Tamandua tetradactyla: one gene and its partner. The protein of the gene in region 1 purifies or fractionates together with the protein of each later gene. This does not show direct contact. Links are inferred from orthologs where the notes say so. Each region holds a gene or a part of one and is shown in the gene's direction. Other genes may lie near its edges.

Region 1 (7,840 bases):
TAAGTAATGGGTTAAATGTGTTGTACAATTGTACTACTTCATGAAATCTTATTTATATCTGTAGTGTTAATCGTAACCTGTGTTGTGGCATCTTTTTGCCATGCAGATGCTTTTAGGTGTTTCCTTGCTTTCTGGGTCCTGTTATCAGCCACGGGAGGGCTTTGAGCAGGGAGTGATGGGGTCATATCTAGGAGTTAGAAGGAGCCAAGGGGGCTGATGTGGGGTGAGGGGACAGGAGACTGGAAGACCTCCCAGGTGAGTTCAGCAGCCCAGAGGGAGGCGAGGGAGAAACTGTGAGCTGAGGATCACACACCAGAGGGGCCGGGTGGGGTGGGGAGTGTGGGCGGGCTGGTGGCTGGGAGGGGAGACGCCTGTGGGTGTAGAGCTTGCTGCAGGCAGGGTCTGGCCTCTGCACTCAGAGCCTTCTGCTCTCACCCCTGATCCAGGAGGAGCTGGAATTCTGTGAAAAGCTGCTACAGGTCTGTTTTTCAACCCCAACGGACGACAGCATGGATCGGTGAAAACGTGGTGGCCCCCTTCCACATGGGAGCCCAGGCCTCCTGCTTCCCTCCCCATCCCGGGGCCCTCTCCCAAGAGAGAGCAGGGCCCTTATGGGGGGGAGGGGGCTGAGCCTGGGGCTGTCAGCCTGTCTCTGCTCAGCCCCCTGGAGGGGTGCTGAGAAAGGACCGGGCTCCAGGGGCCCCACCTCCTGCTTTCAGGCTCATCCCCCCCACCCCGAGCCTCTTGTCCACACTGCTCTTCCAGCAGAGACGGGGCTCCTCTCCCACTGCCACTTTGTCACCTCCTCTGGGTGCGTAGTGGTGGAGGGGCGAGGTGCGGGCCGGGGCCTGAGAGACTGGGGAGGGAGGGGAGGAAGGCCGCCTCGGGAGCTTGGGGTAATAAAACTCTTACTCCTACCACCCACAGAGCCATTGCCTCACTTCACCTTTCCAGCCTCTCTGGGATGGGGTGCAGGCACATCTAACCTTCTCCCTGCCCCCCAACTTCTCTGAATTCTCTTATGTTTCGGGAATTCCCACCTTCGGCTTCCAGGCCTCCTAAGGTCAGGTGTTTTTTCCCCCAGCATCAGAGCCTCCTGTACAGGTCTGCCGCCGGCAGCTGCTGCCTGGAAAGGACGCTTGTCCAGAGTCCACGGCCCTTGAGGCAGGGTGGAGGGGCGGGCAGTCGAGTCCCTGCCCAGGCCCCCCGTGGAGGCAAGGCTGCTGCGTGTCCCAGCTGCAAAGTGCCAAGCCCAACTCCACCTGCTCTGAGATCTGGGGGTCTGTCTGCCTTTTCTGTTTGCCTAAAGTAGGTTTCTGTTGATGCAACTAAGGGCCCTGCTGCAGGAAGCAGAGTCCGAGAATCTTGCATCCAGGATTCCAACCTAGGACTCATCCCAAAGCCCTGCTCCTCCCCAGTGCCCTCGCTTCCTGGCCCCATCTGATGCCAGGTCATTACTTTTGCATATACAGCACTTGCCTCATACTTTTGGGATTTTAGAGGGCTTAGTTAATTTCAGTTCTCTTCCATTCTCAAATTCAGAACAAATCGAGGCAGCTGTGGGAACAGAGAGTTGGAGATCCAATGTCATCTCGTTTATTTTTGAGCCATTTACATCATAGCTGAGGAGTGTTGCTTCTACTCTGCACCAGCATTAGACCAGCACTTCTGCCTCAGGCAGCCCTGGGCAAGCAGCAGCCTTCCCATGGGTGGCAGAGTGGAGGCCAGGGGACAGGAGTTCTGGGGCCAGCCTGTCTCCAAGAGGACAGGAAGTTGGAGGGCTGACCCCAGCCTGGGGGGGAGGGGGGCAGAGACATGCCAGGAGAGAGCCACTGGTGGGGGGTCCCCCACACCGAGCCCTGGGCTCTTTTGTTGTTTTAAAAGTTCCCTCCAATTCTTAGGCAAATAACATCTTCCTGTGAGTTCTGACAGGAGCTGAGACCCAGATTTCAGACAGTAAAGCCCCTGGAGCTTCCTGGGTTGGGCAGACTCGGTGCCTCAGCATCTGTTTGGTGGTTGAATATGGCCTGAGCCTGGGTGTTAAAACTGTGGCAACTGTGTAATCATATGTAGGGAAAAAAGCAAGGAAAATGATAGGTAAAAGACAGAAGAGTGCAACACAAAAGAAAAAATGATTCAAAGGACAGAAGGAATTTCTTCACAATTGCTTCAAGAGTGTAGCAATCAGAACATGGGTCTATTGAAACAAGGCCTTTAAAATATTTTTAAAAAAAGATGAAAAAAGGAACAATGGCAAACCCAAGGAAGTAAACTAAAGTTCTGGTAAGTTAGATTTTTCACCAGAGATTCACCCCCTCCCCTCCCACCTTCGTGGGAAAAGTACATTCCCTGCCTATGGCACGTGGAGCCCACCAGCCCATACTTCTTGGGCTTGGCCAGGTGATTTGCTTTGATCAGTGATGGTGGCAGATGTGAGGCAAAGGGAGATGTGAAATGTGCTTCCAGCTGGGCTTGATCTCTTGGGCTCCTGCCTCTCCTGAAAAGGAACCTTGGACAGCCCTTTGGTCCCATCTGTGAATGTAATAAATACCACCAAGGTTGTGGTTGTCATGCAGCGTTAGCTAACTAATACAAGGAGAAAACAACATCATGTGTGATAAACATACCAGAAATAGCAAGGACCAAAGGGGACATGGCTGGAAAGTCAAATGACAGAACCAGAGAGGTGGCAATGTGAGAAGAACTGAGCCCAACATCTCTGATTTTGAAGATGGGGGTGGGGCTTCAACCCAAGGAATGCAGGTGGCTTTTGGAACCCGGAGAAGGCCAGGAGGTGGATTCTCCCCCAAAGCCTCAAGTAGGGAATGCGCCCTGCGGTCACCTCGAGTCACTGGAGACCCATGGTGGACTTCTGAGCTCCAGAACGTAAGATAATAAATGTTATTTTAAACCACTTTAAAAAAAAGCAAAACAAAGGACTGACATAGTAGTGACAGTGAAGGCAGATGAAAATGACAAAGATTAAAGCAATTACCAGCTAACGCGTGTGAAATACAAATGCATAACCGGCATTCTTGAAAAAAAAACGAAAAACTGAATCAATAACTAAAATGCATAAAATACAAAAAATGTCCCCAAAATGCAGATTTATAGAAAAGGGTTAAGTCCTTAAGTGCATTTATTCATTTGATGCTTACAGTGAGCTGCTAAGTGGGCAGGACGGGGCTAATTGTCTCTATTACAACTGGGGAAACTGAGGCTCGGAGCCAGACAGGACCTTAAAGGACACTGACCCTAAGCCTAGGAGGCCCGCGCAGTCGATGTTGCTCCAGAAGTCTTTGCAGCAGCGGGCAACAGCCAGGCACCGCCTGGACCGAGGCGCGGCGGCGGCGGGTGGAGGCCATGAGGGAACACCCGGAGTGGATTTCCCGGCAGAAGACCGAGAAAGGTGAAGGGGCTTCCCAATGGAGCCGGAGGGAAGAGAAAACCCGGAACAGGGTTTCCACTGGATTTCGGAATGAAGTCGTAGAACTGGCTCCCGGAAGGGCAGCGGCGCCTGCGCATTCCTCCGTCTGGGTTGACTTGGGGAGAGACAGTTGGCACGAGCCGGCGCAGGCGCAGGCGCAGATCCAAAGCCCCGGCTTAAGGAAGCGCAGGCAGTCGCGACGGTGTTCCGGGTGGGCGGGGTAGGGGAGCCGGGGCCTCGCGCGCACGCGGGCTGCAGGATCCGCCCGCGCTGCCCCGCCGCACCTGCGCACCGAGAGGGCCGCGGGCAGGCGGGGCGTCCTGCGCGCTCCGGCGCAGGGGATTGTGGGATCGTGGCGTCGGGCGTCGGAGGCCTGAGGCGGACAGTAGGCTCCCGGGACCCGTCGGTTTGGGGAAGGGGCGGCTGAAGGAAGCGGGCCTGGGCTTCCGCTGGCCGCTGCTCGGCTCTGCGGCTTGTAGGGACTCCGGAGGGCGACGTTTTCCCCGCCCGCCCTCTTCGTTTCCGCGGGGCGCCGGCCTGGGCCGGGGAGACCGGAGCGACTGGGGCGACTTCCCCCGCGCCCCGCCGAGGCCCCTGCGCGGGTCCTCGCGGCCCGGCCAACCCCCCGCCCCGCGCCCTCGACCCCCGCGTCCTTCCCCCTCGCCTGCGCTCAGCCCGCAACTCTGCGGCGCTCGGCGCGCGGGGTCCCCCTTTGACCCGAGGGTGCCTGCGCGAGACCCCGACGTCGCCCCCCGCCCCCACATACCGGGCCCCTGAGCGGGGGCCGGAGCCGCCGGCGGCGGGGCGAGGGGGGCGCCCCGATGAGCCCCGAGTGCGAGGAGCCGCCGCCCCCCCACGCAGGTGAGCCGGCCCAGCCCGGGACCTTTTTCCAGAGCCCAGTCCACCCCCAGGACCCCCTCGAGCCCCACCTAAGTACCCTTCGCGGGTCCCAGTCTTCTCCCTTTCGGGTCCACCCCCACCTTTGTTCCCTGGAATCCTTCCCTCTTCCCCTGGACGCCTCCTCATCACTTCCCCCCCCAAGTCTAGAGAGTAGCCTCGGCCTACCCGCCACTCTCTTCCACCTTTGGCTTTACCCCGGCAGTCTCTTTCTCCTCGCTCCTCCCCTTCCCCCCAAGAGTCCCTCCGTTTTGCACCTTCATCTGTTATTACGGTGTTTTTCTTCTCAGTCCCCTCTTCCCCCTTCCCCCCTCATCTCTTCCTCCTGCCCCCCATCTCTGCCTTACCCCCACCCTTCCCTGTTTCCTGCCTTCTTGGACTCGTTTGCCCTCTGCCTGACCCTTGGGTTGGGGAGATAGGGGAACGGGGGTTTCCCTTCTCCCTTCCTGTGGGTCCGCTGCCCCTGGCTGCCTCTGGCTTCTCCTTGGGAGGAGAGGTTTAGGACCTGGGATTGTCTGGAGGTGTCCAAGTCCTGGTTCCAAGTCTGTGAGACGAGGCCTGCCGAGGGCAGGGCAGGTGCTTCATGCTGGGCACAGAGGGAGGTATCCTGCCCAGCCCTGCCCTGGAGGGGGCTGTGTCCCTGGGGAGATACAGGCAGAGCTGGACAGTCACAATTGCTATGAGGTATTGAGATAGAGGTAACTCAGGGTGCCGCAGGAGGCTGAGAAGATTGGGGACCGGGAGACTGGCGGGGCCGGTGGCTCTCTCTATCTAGGAAGGATGAGTTGGAGTTGACAGATGGAGAGTGGGAGGAAGGGCATTCCTGGTGGAAGGAACAGCGTGTGCAGATATGTGAAGGTGGGCAAGTTGGGGGTTCAGCACTGGGCGGCTCCACTGGAGTGCAGACGTGTTGGGAGGGAGTGGTCAAAGCTGGAGCCTTGAGTGGGACTTTCTGTGTAGGGGTGTTTCTGGCTAGCTCTTTTACACACATACGTGTGTGTAGATACATATACACACAGACACGTGCACATACATACACACATGCATTTACACACAGACACGCACTGAACATCTGCACTGAGGACACAGTCGTTGCCCTGACACTGGCCCAAAAAGCAAGATGTTTCTGGAAAGGAAGATGCTTTCAGATGTGGTATAGTGGGTTCAGAGCTGTGAAGACTCCGCGGGGAGTTTGTCCAACTCCAGGTAAGGTTCAGATCACCAGCACACAGGGTGAACATTGCAGTGACTCACAGTTGCCTGGAAAATCCAGCCTGTGTGGTTTACATCCATATTCTGTAGAATACTGTACCCAGGTCTCAGAGGCCACCACACCCAGAGACAGACACTGAGGGGAATGGCAGTGGGAATTGGTTGCATTTTAAAAAAGTTATGCTCTGTTTTTTTGTTTTTTAATTTTTTCCTAATGTGCATCATTTTGTGTCTGTTAAATGAGGCCATGTGACTCGATTTTGGGTGTTTTATGGCACCTTTGGGAGGCAGTGAAGGCCATTGGTTTAGAGCGAGATGTTTTTTCATCAGACCTAGGTTTGAGTCCCAGCTCTGCTGTCTGGTGGTGAGACCTTGGACAAGTTACTCAGGAGCTGTCATCTGGAGAATGGCGGTAACGGAGGGCCCTCCTCTCAGGGTTGTTCTGTGGATCAGTTCCATGTTTGTGGATGCCCTGGGCAGAATGCAGGGCCCAGTAAGTGAAAGGAATCCGGAGTTGTTAGGTTATTACATTTGCCTTGGCATCACCTATGGCATCTGTTCTCAGCTGGGGTCGCTCTACTCCTCTGGGGACACCTGGCCATACCTGGAGACGTTTGTTTGCCGCATGAGGGCGCTGTTGGCGCTGGTGGGTAGAAACCGGGAATGCTGCTCCCGTCCTGCAACGCACAGGATGACCCCCCAGCAAAGGAGCACTCAGCCCAAACGTCCCTGGGGCTCAGGTGCAGAGACCCTGAAGGCTGTTTGGATGGTGCTTGGTTCGGGCTGGACTGTCCTGTTGCTTCCAGTGAGTGGCTGTGTGGATGTGTGAATTCTTGTGTATTTTGATTTGCTTTTGTCTTTCTTTTTTCACTACCACCTAAAACATTTTATTTTTAAATGTATCTTAACTTTATTTTGAAATAATTTCAAATTTACAGAACAATTGCAAAAATAATACAAACGCTATACAGGAACTCCAGCATACCCCCCCACCCTCCAGATACCCAGATCTACCAATTTTAACATTTGGCCACCTTTGCCATATCATTCTGTTATCTCTCTCTCGATTATGTATCTATTCTCTGGATAGTTGAGATCAGGATTGCCCGCCTGCTCCTTGGATACATAAAACTGTCATGCGCATTTCCTAAGAACAAGGATGTTCACTTATGTAACCACCATAAGCGCAGTTATCCCATTCAAGAAACGTAAAACTGCTATAGAGCTTACGTTCTGTATTCCTTTTTTTGTCCTTACATCTCAGTGTCCTTTTGATCCTTTTTCTCCTCTGTTCTTAGATCCCATCCAGAATCATGTATTGCATTTAATTGTCATTATCTCTTTGGTTTAACTTTCTCTTTTTCTTAATTGTGGATATATATAACACACATAGATACCGTAGATCCTCCCATCCCAGCACACTGTAGAGTGTGAATAGTCACCTTCACAATGTTGCAGTACCTTCCCCTCCATCCATAACTGGACCTTCCTTTTCGCCTCAAACAGAAACCCTACACTCATTTTCCGTTAACTCCCCATTGCCTCTTCACCCTCCCCTGGTAAATTGTACTCTACTTTTTGTCTCTATGAGTTTGCATATTCTCTGATGTTTTCAGTGTGGTTATCGTGGGCTTAAATTTAACATCGTAAACCTGTAACTATCCTGTTTGCATTGACACCAGTTTAGCTTCAATAGTGTACACAGACTATGTTCCTATACCCCTCCATTCCCCCACCTTTATGTCATTTTGTCACAAATTACTTATTTATACATTGAGATCAAAACCATTGATTTATTAAACTTTAGGCATTTGGCTTTTAGATCCTGTAGGAAGTTAAAAGTGGAGTTACAAATAAAAAATAGAACAGTATTGGTGTTTCTAGTTACTTACCTCGTTACCCTCACAGGAGATTTTTATTTCTTCCTATGACTTCAGTCAGTTGTCTAGTGTCTTTTCCCCCAGTAGAATTCCCCTGTCTAGTATTGATGAAGTCCCTCAGCTTTTGTTTATCTGGGAATGTCTTAATTCCTCCTTCATTTTTTTTTTCACTTTTTAGATTGTATAGTATAAAATATATATAAAGCAAAAGAAAGAAAAAAGCAATAAGTTTTCAAAGCACTCTTCAACAAATAGTTACAGGACAGATTGCAGAGTTTGTCATGGGCTGCTATACGATCCTTTTTCCTTCTAGCTGCTCCAGTGTGTAGAGGAGGGCTTAAATATTTTTTTATCATCACAGTCGACTTTTTTTCCTTCTTTTTTGTGAAAAATAACATATATAAAACTATAAATTTCAAAGCAC
Region 2 (7,325 bases), on another chromosome or scaffold:
ACAGCAATTTGTCTTTCATCTTGAAGGGGATTTCCTGACATCTTCCAGCCCTGGACTTCCAGAAACTTTACTGAAGGTGGTGAATTTTCTTGGGGTTTATAGCCTATCTTCTGGCTCACATGTATCTTGTTAAGGAATTTAACTATTTCCAATTCATTACTAATAGAACTTAATCAGGAAGCTGTCTTTAATATAGTGGTCAAGATTTCTGCAGACTAGATTATGGCAAAGAGAGTTTACATCCCATAGGCAAGACTGTGAATGTGTACTGTTGGCATTGTCATATGAAAGAAAATGGCTTGTGGTACAAATTGGAAAAGATAAAAAAGCATTTGCTACATAAATAGATACATACCAGTTACTTAGGGCTGTGTATATTTGCTGCAGTAAAGATAGTACACATAGAATAGCAGTTGCAGTTGGGGTTACCATCTGATAAATTTACAATAATTCATAGTTACTCTTTAAGATCCGTCTGCCTTTAGCATAGCTCAAACTGTGAGCTAAATGGGGATGTGATAGTATCACCAGCCCTGCATTTTCCACAACATTTATGGTCATACTGCTCTTTACATCCTTCCTGAGATGTGCTATTGCTTTTGATTTTCTGCTCCTGTAGAAAAAGGAAATTCCAGAGGCTTCTACTCAGCCTATAATACTGCCATAGTCTTCACGCTAAGGGTCAGAGAAGTAATATAGGGATTCTGCCAGTTATTATATCTATTCTAACTGTATAGTCAAGAAGTAAGGAAATAATTGCAGGGTGGCTCTGTGGACTGACTGGATCCTCTGTGAATTTGTCTTGGTTGAAAACTCCACTGATCACCTGACAGCCTGTTTTAGTTTCCTAGACTCCTTAAGTAATACCATGAAATGGGTCATGTTAAACAATGAGAATTATTTGCTCATGGTTTTGAGGCTGGGAAAATGTCAAATCAAGGCATCATAAGGTGGTGTTTTCTCCCAGAAGACTGACTTTCTGGGGCTGACTGCCACTGATTCTGGGGTTCTTAGCTTGTCACGTGGCAAGGCACATAGCATTGTTCCCTGGTCTCTTCCTTCTCTTCTGGGTTCCGTTTCAGCTTTTGCTTCCTGTAGCTTTCCCTTCTTCTGAATTTCATTCCATTTATGAGGACTCCAGTAATAGCATTAAGACCCATACTGATTGAGGTGGGTCATACCTTAAGTATACCTCATCAAAAGGTCCTACTTACAATGGTTTCACACCCACAGGAATGGATTAAATTTGAGAACATGTTTTCCTGGGATACATACAACTTCAAACCACCATACCACCATAAGTCTCCACTTTGATTGGTGGATCCAGTGACACTTGGATCCTCAGGAATGATCATGTAGTAAGTACCAGTGTCTAGTAGTCCCTGAAATACCTGGGTATTTCTTTTCCCCAGGACACAGTCACTCTAGTAAATTGTATCAGGTCCCTTTAGGGAAGGTTTGATGATGACTTATAATATATATTTATGGCACTGCTGTAACCAAGACAATAGGATTTAAGGGATGATTTTGATTACTAAGTCATTATATAGATATTCCTTTTTGCTTTCTGGTATACTAGAGTAGACAGAGGGAAATACCTGAAATCTCTGAATTGTAAACTAGCTGCCTTGATCTGGTAATGATTGTATAGCCTTTATCTTCTTTCCCTGTGATTGTACAAACCTTGTGACTAACCTTTATTTGTATCCATTTATCCAGTTTTTCAACTTTAGAGTCTTGTAATCACTATACCCCTAAGGTTTATTAATGAAGGGTCTTGGGTCAGTCCAGAACTAACCCACCCCAACCCCAAAGTTATCTTGATAACTGAGACTGGATGTAACCAAAGTGGGCCCCCTGACAATGTGCAGTAACTTAGATTTTAACTTACAAGTCACCTATACCTCATTATGATATTAAAAATCATGGCCATTATCATATTAAGGCCGCCGTTTTCTTACATATATTCTGTGACCAGGCATGTAATCAATCTGCACGTACTCAATAATTAGATCACCTCTAATTGCATCAGCTAGGGTGACTATGTACATTACCCTAAACCCTGCCCATCTTTTGATTCTAGAAAACTATCATAATTACTGCAGTTTGGAGAGACAGTTTTGGGCCAACAGGCCATCTGCTGTCCTGCTACGCACCTAGTACTAAACTTTTTCTCTCTTTGAAACTCCAGTGTCTCAGGACTTGGTCATTGAGGGTTTTAGGCAAAAGAATCCACCTCCTTTGTCTGGCAACAATGCCAATGCTGGAAAGACCTTCTTCAAGTGGACCAGTGTCCCCTTCTATTAAGGGGCTCTGTGTCCATGGACTGGCATAGGTATGAAAAATAGATGAGAAAGATGACTTTTCATTTTTGTTGGCTCAAGTCAGGTTTTAAGCCCCATACCTCAATTTCTTTACTGTTACAAAGATCAAGGAATAGCTCAGAAATCTGCCCATCATTTCATCATTGATGACAGGAGAGGGGAAGCCAGGAGAGTGCTTCCTCAGTTCCCCTGGTCTTCATGGTCTCAATCACATCTCATCAGACTAGTAAGAGTATATTTGTGACTTATCTGCTTTACCAATCTGAGTGGCTAGATGATAAATGGGAGGATACAAAGTGAATGTTCCCAGTCCCTTTTTCCCTTTCTCACATGGAATTTGGGGGGAGGCTCAGAAAGCAGGGAAGAAGAAACCTAAAGGGCAGAATACACACTTGGTCTTTGAATAAATGGTAGATGCACAGTCTTGACCCAGGAACTCTTAGGTCTGTTCAGTGGGTCAGTGCTGCTCTGTAGGCTTGCCCTGTGATGAGCTGTCAGAGGCACATGGGGCGGCCTGTGAGCAGAATCCCACCTTGAGTACTTAACACCTTCTCTTCCCAGAGATCTCAAGTCCTGTCACTTTCTTAGGGAAATCTGCCCTCTCCCACCAGTCTGGTCAGATTCACTTGAAAGGGTTCCTTCAGAAATATTTTTCCTCCCTGTGATCCCTTATCTCACTTTGTAATTACATTTATTAATGTAACCATGTGGCTTATGTTGGGCACCCAAGACACTAGGTGTCTTGTCTATTTATGTTCCTGTTTCTTTTTGTGCCCACCAAGGTACTTGGCCCAAGGTAGGCATTCGGTGCAAAGTTTATATAGCTGTTTGATAAATGTTTGCTTCAAATTCCAGAAGTATCAACACTTACTATGATGATAAATATCGTCATTGAATTTGTATCTGGTGCTGCTTGACAACTAAGTCTTCTATAGGTTGAAGAGGATGGTAATTTTGGATTTTGTGGAAATGCTTCAGTCAGGACTGGTGGAAACACCCTAAAGACTCCATAATTTATACCTCCTGTGCTTCTTCAGTAACTTCATTCCACCTTGACTCCCCGCAAAACAAACCCAGGGTGTTTGAACTTAACAGGGGTGTGTGTGCATGTGCGGTGCCTACCTGAAAGATGGCTGGAGAACAAGGTAAATTGCCAGAGCTTCTCTGCACCGCCCCCCCCCCCCCCAATGTTTGAGAAATACGGCACAGCTGACTTTCTCATTAAAAAATTACGCGTCCAGAGACCACGACCATCAAATAAAGAGAGCATCAGACTTGGGGACCTGACCGAGGTGGATAATTTGGAGTGCTCTCGGACAACCTGATTCCGGAGAGGCCTAAGTTAAATTTGGTGACGTGTGAGTGACAGCCTTTTTGTCTCCTGGTGTGTCCACATGGGCTTGTCCCTCAGGTGGTGCCTGTGTGTGTCTGACCGGACGAGAATGGACCCCAGATCAGTCCCAGGTCGCCGTGGGGGGGGGACCTCTAACCGTGAGCACCCTGGTCCGCGGGGGACCACGAGGGAGACCCCAGGGCCCTGGCCGGGCTCCGGGGCGCAGTGTGTGAGTGCGGAAAGCAGAGGCATCTCGGCCCCCCCGCGGAGCGCGGGGTGCAGGCGCCGGCGACTGCCTGGGACCGCCGGGGACCGCGGGGCTGCGAGGCGCGGCTGCGGGCAGCAGGAGGCAGCGTCGGCTCAGCCGGCGCGGCCGCGAGCGAGCCGGCGCGCGGTGATGTCAGTGGCGGCCCGGTACTTTCTGTATAAAGACGGGCGGGCTCCGCTGCAAACACCACTAGCCAGTGTCAGCCTCTCGGCGGGAGGAGGCGGCGGCGGAGGAGGAGCAGGGGGAGGGCTGTCAAATTCGGGAGCCAGATTTGTTTCCCTTCCCCTGGCAGTCCCTTCCGCTTCCCCGGCTCCAGGCTTGACATCTCGGGACCGGGGACCTGTATGTGTGTGTGCGCGAAGGAGCGGAAGAATGGCAGTGCTCAAACTCACCGACCAGGTAGGGGGCGGCGGCGCCGGCGGGCGGGACGCGCGGGCGCGGGGCGGCGCGGAGCCCTGGCTGGGGGATGGGGGCGCGGCGGGGAGCGCTCCCGCGAGCTGTTTACTCCCGGCTGAGGGGAGGAGTGCGTGCGGCCCGCGGGCTGTCTCCGAAACCCTGCGGCGGCGGCGGCTCTGCACCCCTGCGCCGCTCCCCACCCTGGGCGGTCGGAACTGCGCGCTGGGATCGCTGCCGGCCGCGCGCTCCGGGGCCGGGGAAGGAGCTCGGCGGGTGGACAGAGCCAGGGCGTGGGTGTGCGGAGTGCAGGGGGTGCGCGGAGTGTGTGCTTGGGGAGGGGGGGGGGTACTGTAAGCGGGCCTCGGCTGGGGGGGGGGGGGAGAGGGAGGGGTGGCTGGAGGTGCTACTAGGGCTCCAGCTGTGCTCTGCAGCGTGGGTCCCGCCAGCCGGTGCCTGTCGAGGGGAGGCTCGTCCGCGCATCCGGACGGAGGAAGGTAGAGGGAGAGGCAGCAAGGACCACAGCCTGGGACGCCTCCCGAGCCAAGCAGGGACTGACCCAGACCGCGTCTCTTGTGTAGCCAGGCTGTCTTTATTCGTTTGACATGACATCCTGACTTCCTCTTTAGCCACCCAGAGGCTGCGGGTGCTTGCGTGTGTACGCGATGGGGACCCTCGGAGACCGTGCTCTTGGCTCTGGCCGGTCTCTCCGGGAAGAGGAGAAGGTGAAGTCCGGTCAGGGACTACACTGGCAGGCGATGATCTACCCTCTATCAGTGTTCATCAGCTTTGTTGCTTTCCTCGCTGAAACACAGGGCAGCTCTGGAGTCCCGGCTTGGAAAGGTGGGGTTTGCTCAACCTGGGCCCTTCTCTTTTGGGCAAGTCTGTGGTATGGAAGCACCACACCTTTGTGAACTCTGTTACTATTAGGAAATTGACAGAGGCGTTCAAGTTGCATGACAAGATTTTGTAATTATTCCACGAGGAAAGAAAAAAAAAGCTTGCTTATTTCCCTCCCGACCACCATTTATTCACGCATAGGGAAATGAACACTGTTTTGGGGTCCTGGTAGGCGGAGAGGCAGTCTTGTCTTTGACACATGCGGTGCAACGTTCAAGCTCCTGGTATCATCAGACCTCTCAAACTTCCCTAGTGGGTGGCATGTGGTTAGTATCCAGACAGCATCTTGCTACTTAAATGGATTTACCCCAATGTTTTGCAATGATTTGTTTCTCTGCCTTTTAGATTCAAATTTTCAGTTTGGTTTCCCTAAGTATTTACAGGCTGTTGTAGGGGGTCGTGGGGAGTCACTGGATTAAACCCTATGTTATCGTTAAATTTAGCAGGCGAAGCAGCTGGTAATTGCCATTGGTTCCAAAGCATTTAAAAGTGTAAGTTGATATCAGGATTTCCCCTACCTTTTGGTCATGTACTTCGCCAACTGTTAGCTGTTTGCTTGTTTTAAATCTTCCAGTTTTAGTCTGACTTGGTTCTGTCATCTTTGCTTATACCCATTGCTGTACTTATCTGTCACTATCTAAATCTTCGAAGTAAAAAAAATGCTTCTAATAGGCATTGTTGTTATTCTCATGTGTGTGAAAGAATTTCTCATAGAATCTCGGAGGTGTAAGTCCTCCTACAGCTGTGCTGGCCCAGATGCGGGAACGGAGATCTGGAGAGGTGACTCCGGTTTTCTTCAAGGACCAGGGCAGTTGGCCTGTAGAGCCGGGACCAGGTCCTGTCTATTGGCTTCCAGGCTTTTGTGCTTTGGGCGATTGTAAGACACCTTCTGTCTTCTCTTTCGCTTGTTGAAAGCTTTGCAAAAAGGCATCCTCTCCCAAATCAAGATTGCAACTGATGAAAGTTATATTACAATAATTTTAGAAGGAAAGGGGGCAGGCCACGGTGTCTCAGCAGCAGAGTTCTCGCGTGCCAAGCCAGAGACCCAGGTTCGATTTCTGGTGCCTGCCCATGCAAAACAAACAAACAAGCAAAAAAACAAAGCATAGAAGGAAAGGTAGTTAGTTTTCAGGACTTAACAGAATAGGATTTTCAAAGATGTTTAAAAATGTTTCTGAATATATCCCTCCACAAACTAGATTATCCTGGAGAGAAAGTTGCACGAACTTGGTTTCATTTCACCTCTTGATGCATAGAAATATCCCTAAGAAGTTCTAGGATTCTAGAGCATCTGAACATTGCCACCTTCTCTAGGGCAAAGCCAGAGGGGATTGGGTGGGGAGGGTGGGGTGGATGGGGTGGGATCGAGGTTGAGTATCAGTGGTTTCTGTGTGGTTTTAGGTCCAGGAGGTGTGTGGTCTTTCTTGCCTTATATAGTCTTACTTTTTCAGTTTGAATTCTAAATTCTTAGAAGCTGGTTCTTAACCTCAGTGGAGGCTTAAAGTCTTTCTTAAACTTCTGCCAGAAGAGTCTTGCTCCATCATTGTGGGTAGAGAGCAGCCTGCTTGGAATTCCTGCCTTAGTTTGTGGAGGGAGTGCCCAGCTACCCGTTTAGCTATTTGTAAAATAATTGTTTTTAACTACTCCCTCATTTGTTTAATGAGGTGAATCTTGATTTTTACCCAGGCTCTTGGATTTTTGGCTTGAGGACATGACATATTCTTGCTGTTGATTACTTGAATCCCAAGTTGTCTTCGTTTGTCTTTAAGCATACCCAAAGTAAAGGGTGAAAGATGATGACATTTCCTGTTCTGCTGAAGTTAGGTGCAGGAGCTTTTCTGGTAATGGCAATCACTAGTTTAATAGTCAATTCTGCAATCACCTATCAGTCATGCAAGGAAAGGGAAAATGCCTTTTCCTAACTATTTTGGGAGGTTAAAAAGAAAGAGGAAAGGGAGAGGCAAGTGTGGCTTTTAGTCTTTTCTTACTATGCAAAGGAACTAGGAGCTTTTGCTACAAACTAGCTTGACATTTACACTTCTGCATTTGTAGCTGTGTCTCTTCTGTTTTCCCTTTTACACAACACACATTATTTTTCTTGCAGCGT

The links.
Region 2: the proteins of PPP6R1 (region 1) and ANKRD44 purify together in Homo sapiens (co-immunoprecipitation; 5 studies listed by BioGRID and IntAct, counting the BioPlex papers as one, with this or other methods). This does not show direct contact. The link is inferred for Tamandua tetradactyla from reciprocal best matches to the Homo sapiens genes PPP6R1 and ANKRD44.

What each region holds. Positions count from the first base shown.
Region 1 is NC_135342.1:4,459,288-4,467,127, forward strand, and holds the start of PPP6R1 (serine/threonine-protein phosphatase 6 regulatory subunit 1), read left to right. Parts: upstream 1-4,741; 5' UTR 4,742-5,122; coding exon 5,123-5,182; intron 5,183-5,381; exon of another isoform or gene 5,382-5,530; intron 5,531-5,866; exon of another isoform or gene 5,867-5,942; coding exon of another isoform or gene 5,943-5,948; intron 5,949-7,840. Other genes in the region: HSPBP1 (hsp70-binding protein 1), read left to right, coding at 447-521. UniProt on the Homo sapiens protein: Regulatory subunit of protein phosphatase 6 (PP6). May function as a scaffolding PP6 subunit. Involved in the PP6-mediated dephosphorylation of NFKBIE opposing its degradation in response to TNF-alpha.
Region 2 is NC_135329.1:171,505,503-171,512,827, reverse strand, and holds the start of ANKRD44 (serine/threonine-protein phosphatase 6 regulatory ankyrin repeat subunit B), read left to right. Parts: upstream 1-4,074; 5' UTR 4,075-4,297; coding exon 4,298-4,324; intron 4,325-7,325. UniProt on the Homo sapiens protein: Putative regulatory subunit of protein phosphatase 6 (PP6) that may be involved in the recognition of phosphoprotein substrates.